3 linked regions of the Macaca mulatta genome follow. The protein of the gene in region 1 interacts with the protein of each later gene in a pairwise test. Links are inferred from orthologs where the notes say so. Each region holds a gene or a part of one and is shown in the gene's direction. Other genes may lie near its edges. The genes, in order: NAB2, PHOSPHO2 and PHF1.

What was found.
Region 2: the proteins of NAB2 (region 1) and PHOSPHO2 interact in binary tests that used the Homo sapiens proteins (3 or more experiments, as listed by UniProt). The two-hybrid records come from large-scale screens. The link is inferred for Macaca mulatta from reciprocal best matches to the Homo sapiens genes NAB2 and PHOSPHO2.
Region 3: the proteins of NAB2 (region 1) and PHF1 interact in binary tests that used the Homo sapiens proteins (3 or more experiments, as listed by UniProt). The two-hybrid records come from large-scale screens. The link is inferred for Macaca mulatta from reciprocal best matches to the Homo sapiens genes NAB2 and PHF1.

Annotation. Positions count from the first base shown.
Region 1 is NC_133416.1:64,244,490-64,248,797, forward strand, and holds the start of NAB2 (NGFI-A-binding protein 2), read left to right. Parts: upstream 1-1,416; 5' UTR 1,417-1,450; coding exon 1,451-1,533; exon of another isoform or gene 1,534-1,534; intron 1,535-3,306; coding exon 3,307-4,180; intron 4,181-4,308. UniProt on the Homo sapiens protein: Acts as a transcriptional repressor for zinc finger transcription factors EGR1 and EGR2. Isoform 2 lacks repression ability.
Region 2 is NC_133417.1:74,621,825-74,624,439, forward strand, and holds the end of PHOSPHO2 (pyridoxal phosphate phosphatase PHOSPHO2), read left to right. Parts: intron 1-1,296; 5' UTR 1,297-1,322; coding exon 1,323-2,048; 3' UTR 2,049-2,063; downstream 2,064-2,615. UniProt on the Homo sapiens protein: Phosphatase that has high activity toward pyridoxal 5'-phosphate (PLP).
Region 3 is NC_133409.1:148,867,476-148,871,627, reverse strand, and holds the start of PHF1 (PHD finger protein 1), read left to right. Parts: upstream 1-1,212; 5' UTR 1,213-1,426; intron 1,427-2,430; 5' UTR 2,431-2,446; coding exon 2,447-2,605; intron 2,606-2,690; coding exon 2,691-2,772; intron 2,773-2,878; coding exon 2,879-2,974; exon of another isoform or gene 2,975-3,300; coding exon of another isoform or gene 3,301-3,304; intron 3,305-3,384; coding exon 3,385-3,485; intron 3,486-3,598; coding exon 3,599-3,747; intron 3,748-3,924; coding exon 3,925-4,020; intron 4,021-4,152. UniProt on the Homo sapiens protein: Polycomb group (PcG) that specifically binds histone H3 trimethylated at 'Lys-36' (H3K36me3) and recruits the PRC2 complex. Involved in DNA damage response and is recruited at double-strand breaks (DSBs).

The DNA of each region.
Region 1 (4,308 bases):
CTGGCTTCCCTTTGTCCCCCACCAGCCCCCCTTTCCCTGGGGCTTAGAGCCTTTGGGCCGGGCCCTCAGAGCCCCCGCCTCCCCCAACAGCCCTCCCAGCCGTGGGCGGGAGTGCAATGCGAACCAGATGGGGCTAGGAGAAACCAAAGGGGGAGACGGTGGTGGGTTGCAGGAGGTGGGGGACTAAGCTCCTTCAAGGCGCTCCTCCCTCCAGCTCCGCCGCAGGAAGTCACGTCGGAGGCTCCCGACCTCTTATCTTCCACTTGACTCTCGGGCGAGGTCCCTAATAGACGGCCCCAGGAAGGGTATCGTCTTTGTCTCAGCCTTGCCACACAAAATTCCCAAGCAGGGCCTCATCCTCAGCAAACAGAGGACAAGTGGAGGAATCCCTGCCTGACCTACGCGCTGACAAAACCCGATGCGTCTAATCAACACGCGCACCTAAGTGGTGGCATGCAGCATAACCCCCCCATCCCTGTTTCCCAAACTTTTCCAGGCTAGCATGGAGGCCTCGGTTTCTGAAAGCTGCCCCCTCAGATTACTCCACTGGGGGGCTGGGGAGGGGCGCGGGGATATCTAGGGGATCCCTGCAGAACCCCACGCTCTCAGGCCTGCCTTAAGTGCACACATATTATGGGAGTCAGATGCACACACAGGAGGAGCCGCACACCCCAGCCTTCGCGAACTTTTCCCGACTGACTCCTAACATTCACAGGTCCAGCACCACAAGGCCTGAGTGTGGGCAACGGGCGTCCCCGTAGTTGTTTAGGCGCGTGTGCACGTCCGTGCGCTTCTTTGTGTACTTGTGCGTGGTTGTGAAACTCCTCTCAACTCGGAGGAGTGGGGGAGACTAGGAATGTCGCCGGCGGGGCGCTCACGTGGGTACGTGGGCGCCAAGAGGGCCGGCTGTGCATCCGGCGTGGGCGGCACAGAGCGACCTCGCCCCGCCCGCTGGGTCCCCAAGCCCGCCCTCCACAGCCGGGTCTCGGTCACCTCGGTCCCCAATTCGGCGCCTCGGCTCTGAATCCCCGCCCCCGCCTCCTGCTCCACACCCCCTCCCCCCAGTCTCCGCCTCTCCCAGTCTCTAAGCCGCGGCGTCTCCGCGGCCGAGAGGCCCTGGTGCCCGCCCCCCGGCCCCCGCCCCCACCCCCGCCCCCGGCTCTGCCCACGCCCTCCGCCCGCCAGCCCGGCAGCCAGCGCAGCGCCGGGCCTCGCTCCCCGTGCGTCCTGCGGGGGCGGAGGCGCGGAGAGGCGGCGAGCGCAGCCGGGGAGGGTGGGGGGGGCAGAGGCACAGACAGAGGCGCGGAGGCTCGGAGAGAGAAGACGTGGAGGGAGGGACAGAGCCTGGACAGCGGTGGACACGGCATCGTGCGCGGGGCAGAGTGCAGCACGCAGCAGGCGCCGAGCGCTGGGCACCGAGAAGAGCAACCCGGGTGGTCTCCGGCCGTCCATGCACAGAGCGCCTTCCCCCACAGCCGAGCAGCCGCCGGGCGGAGGGGAGAGCGCCCGCCGGACCCTGCAGCCCAGACTCAAGTTAGTGGGCAAAGGGAGGCAGCGGGGAGTGGAGATGGGTGGAGCTGGACTTGGGAATGGGGTCCAGAGGGCGGAGGTCGAGGGGAGGACGTGGGGAAGCGGGACGGGGGTGGGGGGTGGAGACTGATGGAAAAGGGGGTGCGTCTTCGAATTAGGGGGCCCTGGGAGCAGGCAAACATCTGATGAAGCTGGATATGAAAGAGTAGTACCTAAATATCCATTCCTGGTTTACTCTGTGGGCTCTCTCTGGCCTAAGTGCCCCCTGTAAAGAACGTGGGAGCCTCCTAGCACCAGGGAATGCCCTGGAGCTCGAGCTGGCGTCAGTGCGGAAGGTGGGGGGACGCTCAGTTGCCTCAGTCCCTCGTTGGCACGGAGCGCGCGGGCCCCCGGGGTCCAGGAGAAGGCGGTGCCTTTGAGTTAAAGGACCATCAGCTGGGGGAAGGGGGGTGACGAGGGAGGCAGGGAGGCCTTAGGCAGTTCCTTCCTATATCTGTCCCTTTATGCACAGAGTGGGGAGGGGAGTTTCAGTGTGCAGCCCCTTCTGCAAGAGGCCTTGAGCCTCTCCCCTACTCCACTTGAAGATGCGGGTGGAAAATAAGGGAGAGGAGAGTAGGCGGGAGCCCCTGGGCGGTTTTCGCCCACAGACGCTACCACTGTGGGAGTGTGTGTGGGCGGAACGGCCCCGGAGCAGAACAATTGCGCCCCTCCCCCTGCCGCAGCCCCTGAGCTGAAGGAAAAGGCCGACTGAGGAAGTGGGGAGTGTCACTGCTAGGAGAGGGGCCACTGAGGAGCACTGGGCAGCCTGGAAGGGTGGAGAGGTCCTGGGGGGAGAGAGGAAGCGTGCTGGTTAAGAATGCTTAACCAGGCCATTCTTAACCAGGCCGGGCGCGGTGGTTCACGCCTGTAATCCCAGCACTTTGGGAGGCCAAGGCGGTTGGATCACGAGGTCAGGAATTCGAGACCACCCTGACCAACATGGTGAAATCCCGTCTCTACTAAAAATACAAAAATTAGCTGGGCGTGGTGGCGGGCGCCTGTAATCTCAGCTACTCAGGAGGCTGAGGCAGGAGAATCGCTTGAACCCAGGAGGCGGAGGTTGCCGTGATAGCGCCACTGCACTCCAACCTGGGTAACAGAGCGAGACTCTGTCTTAAAAAAAAAAATGCTTAATCCCTCGGAAAAGCTGAGCGGAGAAGAGCAAGGCACCACCTGGCTCACTGAGTGGGAAAGCCAGGGAAGGTGCCACACCCTCCCTCCTAGCCACCTGGGGCTGTGGCTACTTCACAGGGAATGAAGCTGGCCAGCAGCGTCCACTGTGCGGGAGACGGGTTCTACGTTCACTTTAGTATAGGCGACTTCACTTCAGTGTTGAGACTGCTGAGTGTTTAGGGTGGAAGGTGAGGATTGTGTTTTGGGGGAGAGGGAGGTCCAGCCATCCGAGGTCGGTGCTGGTTAGCCTCAGCGCTCAAGTTCTTCTTACCTCAGACCAAAAAGATAAAAGCTGAAGATAAGGTTTAAGAGGCTTCGACTCCTGCAGACACAGGGCACTGGTTTTTGGGGCTTCAGGCCAGTCTAGGACAGCACTGGCTTGTCCATGCCTCTGAGCAGTGCCTGATTCTCAGAGTCTGTACTCAGACCTGGGCACTGCGCAGGACAGCATCCAAATGAGAGAGGGGAAGAAAAGCAGGCAGGAAAGAGGGAACAATTGTTAGTGTGGGTTGGTACCCAGTAGGGGACTTGCACCGACTGCCTCTCTCTTGTGCCCCTCCTCAGGCCCAGTGCCCGAGCCATGGCACTGCCTCGGACGCTGGGGGAGCTGCAGCTGTACCGGGTCCTGCAGCGTGCCAACCTCCTTTCCTACTATGAGACCTTCATCCAGCAGGGAGGGGACGACGTGCAGCAGCTGTGTGAGGCGGGTGAGGAGGAGTTTCTGGAGATCATGGCACTTGTGGGCATGGCCACCAAGCCCCTCCATGTCCGGCGCCTGCAGAAGGCACTGAGAGAGTGGGCCACCAATCCAGGGCTCTTCAGTCAACCAGTGCCTGCTGTTCCCGTCTCCAGCATCCCGCTCTTCAAGATCTCTGAGACTGCGGGTACCCGGAAAGGGAGCATGAGCAATGGCCATGGCAGCCCTGGGGAAAAGGCAGGCAGTGCCCGCAGTTTTAGCCCCAAGAGCCCCCTTGAACTTGGAGAGAAGCTATCACCACTGCCTGGGGGACCTGGGGCAGGGGACCCCCGGATCTGGCCAGGCCGGAGCACTCCAGAGTCGGACGTTGGGGCAGGAGGAGAAGAGGAGGCTGGCTCGCCCCCCTTCTCCCCCCCTGCAGGGGGAGGAGTCCCTGAGGGGACTGGGGCTGGGGGGCTGGCAGCAGGTGGGACTGGGGGTGGACCAGACCGACTGGAGCCAGAGATGGTACGCATGGTGGTGGAAAGTGTGGAGAGGATCTTCCGGAGCTTCCCAAGGGGGGATGCTGGGGAGGTCACATCCCTGCTAAAGCTGAATAAGAAGCTGGCACGGAGCGTTGGGCACATCTTTGAGATGGATGATAACGACAGCCAGAAGGAAGAGGAGATCCGCAAATACAGCATCATCTATGGCCGTTTCGACTCTAAGCGGCGGGAGGGCAAGCAGCTCAGCCTGCACGAGGTGAGAACCCCCAGGCCTCCTAGGATTGACCTTGACTCCCGGGCCTCCAGCCGCTTACTTCTGCAAGTTTCTACGGTCTCCAACTCTGTTTCATTACCCCTTGACCAGGACCCCAGGCCCTGATCCCC
Region 2 (2,615 bases), on another chromosome or scaffold:
CAACAGTGTAAAAGCGTTCCTTTTTCTCCACAACCTTGCCAGGTTGTTTTTTGACTTTTTAATGATAGCCGTTCTGACTAGTATACGATGGTATCTCATTGTGGCTTTAGTTTGCATTTCTCTAATGATCAGTGATGTTGAGCTTTTTTTTTTCTTTCATATATTTCTTGGGCACATGTATTGTCTTCTTTCAAGAATTGTCTGTTTGTGTCCTTTCCCCACTTCTTAATGGGGCTGTTTGTTTTTTCTTGTAAATTTGTTTAAGTTCCTTAACAAGGAACTACATGATTCTTACCAAAAAGGATTGTGGGCAGATTTTATGAGCAGAGTCTTTAAATATTTGGGAGCTAAAGGTGTAATATAAAATGAAAAGCGCAGTGACATCAATGCCTTTCACTTCAGGGATGGTATAATTTTTCAACTTTATAATAATTGCTGGATATTAGACCTTTGTCAGATGGATAAATTGCAAAAATTTTCTCCCATTCTCTAAGTTGTCTGTTTACTCTGTTGATAGTTTCTTTTGCTGTGCAGAAGCTCTTTAGTTTAATTAGATACCATTTGTCAATTTTTGCTTTTGTTGCATTTGCTTTTGGCATCTTTGTCATGAAATCTTTGCCTGTGCTGTGTCCTGAATGGTATCACCTAGATTTTCTTCTAGGTTTTTTTATAGTTTGGGTTTTACACTTAAGTCTTTAATCCACCTTGAGTTGATTTTTGTATATGGTGTAAAGAAGGGGTCCAGTTTCAGTTTTCTGCATATGGCTAGCCAGCTATCCTAGCACCATTATTAAATAGGGAATCCTTTCCCCACTTGTTTTTGTTAGCAAATACCTTTTTTAAAAAATTATTTTACATCTTGCAAGATTTCATGGTATGTTAAATTTGTTCAGGATTTTGGGTAGTACACAGAGAATCCTTTATACATGACCTATTATTTAATATGAGGATTGTAAATATTTTAATCTAATAAAATAAGTGTGGTTTGATTGATAATGTGATCATAGTAAGAATGCCTTTTTTTTCTTTCTTATAACTCCTATAAGAAACACACCCCCAGGAACACAATAATACTATGAATGTCCTTTTTATATATTTTGTTTTCCACTTAAAATACTCAAATATGAACTTTGCTTCTTAGAGAAAAGTGGTTAGGTAGTGGTCTCGAAGTGCTTAATCACTTTGTTTATATTCCTTCTTTTAACATATTAACATTTAGTTATGTTTATTAAATAAGTGTTTTAGTTAGATATGTAAACAGAGTTTGTTTAGAGAATAATATTTTTTCTTTTTCAGGATAATCCATATCTACTTCTGGAACCATGAAAATTTTGCTAGTTTTTGACTTTGACAATACGATCATAGATGACAATAGTGACACTTGGATTGTACAATGTGCTCCCAACAAAAAACTTCCTATTGAACTACGTGATTCTTATCAAAAAGGATTTTGGACAGAATTTATGGGCAGAGTCTTTAAGTATTTGGGAGATAAAGGTGTAAGAGAACATGAAATGAAAAGAGCAGTGACATCATTGCCTTTCACTCCAGGGATGGTGGAACTCTTCAACTTTATAAGAAAGAATAAGGATAAATTTGACTGCATTATTATTTCAGATTCAAATTCGGTCTTCATAGATTGGGTTTTAAAAGCTGCCAGTTTTCATGATGTATTTGATAAAGTGTTTACAAATCCAGCAGCTTTTAATAGCAGTGGTCATCTCACTGTGGAAAATTATCATACTCATTCTTGCAATAGATGCCCAAAGAATCTTTGCAAAAAGGTAGTTTTGATAGAATTTGTAGATAAACAGTTACAACAGGGAGTGAATTATACACAAATTGTTTATATTGGTGATGGTGGAAATGATGTCTGTCCAGTCACCTTTTTAAAGAATGATGATGTTGCCATGCCACGGAAAGGATATACCTTACAGAAAACTCTTTCCAGAATGTCTCAAAATCTTGAGCCTATGGAATATTCTGTTGTAGTTTGGTCCTCAGGTGTTGATATAATTTCTCATTTACAATTTCTAATAAAGGATTAATTAATATGCCAGCAATTGCAAAGTGTATCACTTAAGATTAGGTTCAGCAGCATAAAACTAAAACCCCAAATACCAGAGGCTTAAAAAAAACAGACAGAGAATTTTTTTTTCCTCTCACATAAAAGAATTCCAGAGGTAAGTATTTCAAGTTGCTGTATTAGTCTACCAACCTCAGCACTTGGCATTCAACCCTTGATCCAAGGTTGCTGGTGAAGCTCTAGCCCTCACAGCAGCACTCTGGCCAGCAAGGAGGGCAGTGAGAAAGTTACATTCCCTGTCTAAAGAAATTTCCCAGAAGTTGTACCCAATACTTCTATTGAAGTATCATTGGCCAAATTTTGTCATAATGCCTTACTTGTAAATAGCAAAGAAAGATGGAAAATACAGCTTTCATTCCAGGTAGTCACGTGCCCAGGAAAAGTTGGGGGAAAAAGTACAGAATTGAGGTAGGTACAGCTAGTGGTCTCCACTAAAGGTGGTTGATAGGTTATATTTTTAAATTTATTTCTCGAGCAAGTAAGCATATTTTATTCTTTTAGATATTCCTCCTCTTTTGAGACAAGGTCT
Region 3 (4,152 bases), on another chromosome or scaffold:
TTGGGTAGAGGGCACCATGTCCCAGGGCTATCAAATAAAGAATAGTTGTTTTTTTTTTTTTAAATAAAGGTTTATCTGCCCAAGAAGGCAGATATTTTCATATCTGTAAAGGTGGGAGCTGTGATCTGTCCCCTCTGCCAAACGTTTGTGTGGGAGGCGGGAGCGGGGGCTGAGGGCTTGGGCTTTTCCCCTCCTTAGCTCACCGGTTCTGGACCATGGTCTGGATCATTTTCCCCTCTGCTAATACCCCCTCCCCCGTCCCTCACATCAGGGAGGCGTGCCCTCTAGCTATCCACGCCCTCTCCTTGGTCACTAGTTATCTAGATAAGTTTCACCCTTCCGCCGGCCACCCCAGCCCCAGGGAGCAACGTTCCTTTGGTGGGTGTCGGCAAATGGGGACCGGACCCCGGAGTCCAGAGGCGGGGCTAGCGCGCGCTCCCAAACTGCTGGCTCTTTCCTCCCGCCCTTTCCCTGCCTTTCCGTTCGAACGGCTGGGGCTCTGCCCGCTCGCTGCCCATTGGCTGGCTCTCGGTGGCGTCACCGCCTCGGGTCCTTGCCCCCTTCGTCTTTGCGCCAGCCCTGGAAGCACGGGGCGGGACGTACCCGGGAAGCGGCGCGCACGCCCGCCGACTCCCTCTCGCCAACCGCCGACGGCCGCCGCCCCGTGAAGGAGGAGCTCAGTCCTCCCAGGTGCCGCGCGCAGGAGGGGACACGCGTGCGCAAAAGGGCGGCGGGTGGGGCGCGACTCGCCACGGGGAGGGCGGGGCTGGGGCTAACGGCGAGTGGAGGGCGGGGCGCGCGAGGGAGGAGGGCGTGGTGGGGGCATCGAGAAGGGTGAATGGAGGGCGGGGCCGTGAACTGGGGCCGGGGGGCGGGACTTGGAGTGACCATGGGGGGTGGGGCAGTTAACGGATGTGGCATGGGGCGGGGGACCAGTCCGGAGGCGCGCTGCCGGGAGGGGGGATTCCCTCGTGCCCCAAGGGCGAGTCTCAGGTCGGAGGAAGGGGCTGAGGGGATTCCCTCTCCCACCGGGTCCGACTCTTTGCTTCCCAAGCCGTGGAGGGCCTGCCTCTTCCTCGGCACCCTCCAGGCCTGTCGGAGGTGAGGGAGGTGGGGTGAGGTGGTGCCCGCCCCCCCCTCCGGCTCCTCCTTCCCCCCAGTCCTCCCCTCCCACCACCCTCCCCCCCAACCGGTCCGTCCCTCCCCTCCCTCCCCCCCGCCGCCTCCTCCTCCTGCCGCTGCTGCTGCTTTGGCTGCTGCGTCATACGCCCCAGAGCCGCCGGGACGGAGGGGCTGGGCCTGGGGACCCCCCGGCCTCCGCCTGCACAACCCCCCCACGCCCGGACGTGCCCTCTCCGCGCGGGGGACTCGCCTAGGTCTCCTACGTCTGCCCCTGCCCGGCTCCTGGCGGCCCCAGCTGTCACCGGTAAGGAGGCGGCAGGAGGCGCCGGTGGGGGGCAGGGAGCCGGGGGTCGGCGCGGGGCGCGGGCGGGAGAGCCTCGCCGCCTTGGCCTCGGGTCCGAGCTGGGCCGACTCAAGTCCCTTCTCGGACTTGCGGTCCTGGGGAGTGGAGACCAGGACTGGGACACGCCCCCCTCCCGGGGCACTCGGAGAAGTTGTCTAACCCGGGGGCAGGGAGCCCCGAATTTGAGGGTGACCTGACATAACCTGGCACCAGGATGATTGTTCTTAATGAGACACGCAGGCCTGGGGAGACAGCCGTTTCTGCTCTGGAAAACATCTCCAGAAAAGGTCCCAAAACACATCTCTGGGCAACAGGACACCCTAATTATGATACCTCTAAACTGAGTGGTAGCCTTTGCTTCTACAACCGTAATTTCTCCTAAAATTTCAAGGCCAGGATATAATATCCCAGGAGAGCTCTGGAAGCTGGGAAACTAGCAACTAGGTTTGGGGTTGGGGGGAGGGCAGTTACCGTGAGGAGAGCCAGTCACTAGAGTTGAAAGAGGACTCAAGAAGCTGGTGATGGGTGCCTGGTGGTTTCCTATCCAGGTGTCTCAGGGATTTGGAGATGGGGGCACAGATCCTTCATTCTTGACGGCAAAATAGGCAAAGAAAATGGGGAAGTTGGCCGGGCGCGGTGGCTCACGCCTGTAATCCCAACACTTTGGGAAGCTGAGGTGGGTGGATCATGAGGTCAGGAGTTCGAGACCAGTTTGGCCAACATGGCCAACACCCCCTCTCTACTAAAAATACAAAAAATAGCCAGGCGTGGTGGTGGGTAGACCTTTAATCCCACCTACTTGGGAGGCTGAGGCAGGAGAATTGCCTGAACCCAGGAGGTGATGGTTGCAGTGAGCCAAGATTGTCCAGCCTGGGCGACAGAGCAAAACTCCATCTCAGAAAAAAAAAATGGGGAAGCTTTCTGAGCATTCATAACCTTCTCCTCCCCATTTCTTTTCTGGCTAGGCCCCCCCAGGATGCAATGGCGCAGCCCCCCCGGCTGAGCCGCTCTGGTACCTCCTCACTTTGGGACCCAGCTTCTCCTGCTCCCACCTCTGGCCCCAGGCCTCGACTTTGGGAGGGTCAAGATGTGCTGGCCAGATGGACTGATGGGCTGCTATACTTGGGTACCATCAAAAAGGTAAGACCTTCTACCTCTGATCTTTTTCCTATTTCCCTTATCTAATTCTGGTTCCCATTTCATTCTCTTTGCTCACCCATTCCAGGTGGACAGTGCTAGAGAGGTGTGTCTGGTCCAGTTTGAGGATGATTCGCAGTTTCTGGTTCTATGGAAAGACATTAGCCCTGGTAAGACTAGAGACCTGAGATTGCACATCCCATGGAAAACAAACCTGGCTTAGAGGGGCAGAAAGAGACTTAAGGGCAGGCCCCGTGACACTGTGTTCTCTCACAGCTGCCCTCCCTGGGGAGGAACTCCTCTGTTGTGTCTGTCGCTCTGAGACTGTGGTCCCTGGGAACCGGCTGGTCAGCTGTGAGAAGTGTCGCCATGGTGAGAGGGCAGGTCACCTGAATGGTCTAGCTTGCTCTTCCCTCCAGGATGGTCCTTATGTCACCTGTCGTGGCCTTAGTCCCCAAGCCACTGCTCTGGCCAGGCTGCTTAGCCCTATCTTAGTCCTCATCCCCTTTCAGCCCAGGGAGAAGCAGCCATGGAAAGGGGTGGTGTAACCTTTGCAAGCAGAGGATGATTTAACTGCATCCTTTTCTAACCATATGACCTTGGACAAGTCCCTTAACCTCTAGGAGCCTCAGTTCCCTGACTCGTAAAATAAGGATCATGTACCCTCTCATCAAGAACATGGTCAAGGATTAAATGAGATGGGTAAAGACTATTCCTGTCCCAATACCAAGCACACACAGGTATGCAATAAGTGGTCTACTATTAACATTATCACTCTTCAGCTTATCACCAGGACTGCCATGTTCCCAGGGCCCCAGCCCCTGGAGAGGGAGAGGGCACATCCTGGGTATGCCGCCAGTGTGTCTTTGCGATCGCCACCAAGGTAAAGGCACTTCCCTGTTACCCCTTCCTGTGAGAGCCTCCCATCCACATCCTCTCCCAAGCCTTTTCCTCTCCCCACCCCTCTGAAGTCATCCACCTGTCCTGTCTCTGCAGAGGGGAGGTGCCCTGAAGAAGGGCCCCTATGCCCGGGCCATGCTGGGTATGAAGCTCTCTCTGCCATATGGACTGAAGGGGCTGGACTGGGATGCTGGACATCTGAGCAACCGACAGCAGAGTTACTGTTACTGTGGTGGCCCTGGGGAGTGAGTAATGAGGGGGAGCAGACTGTGGAATGAATGATGTGGTGGTGCCTCCCAGGAAATGAAGGAAAAAGAACAGGATGAGGGTAGCACTCAGGGGGATGGGAGGTAAGTTTAGGGTTTGGGGCAGTTATGGGGAAGGGGGTTTCTGGAGGCCAGAAGTCCTATGTTCCCCCTCAGGTGGAACCTGAAAATGCTGCAGTGCCGGAGCTGCCTGCAGTGGTTCCATGAGGCCTGCACCCAGTGTCTGAGCAAGCCCCTCCTCTATGGGGACAGGTGAGACCAAGGCAGACTCTCCAGAAGCCAAGGTGTTCTCTTCGTGCTCCACCCTCAGTTCCCATGCCTGTCTCCACTCCAGTCTCTTCCCAATATCTGCAGCATTACCTCACCTGTTTGCCCCATCCTTGC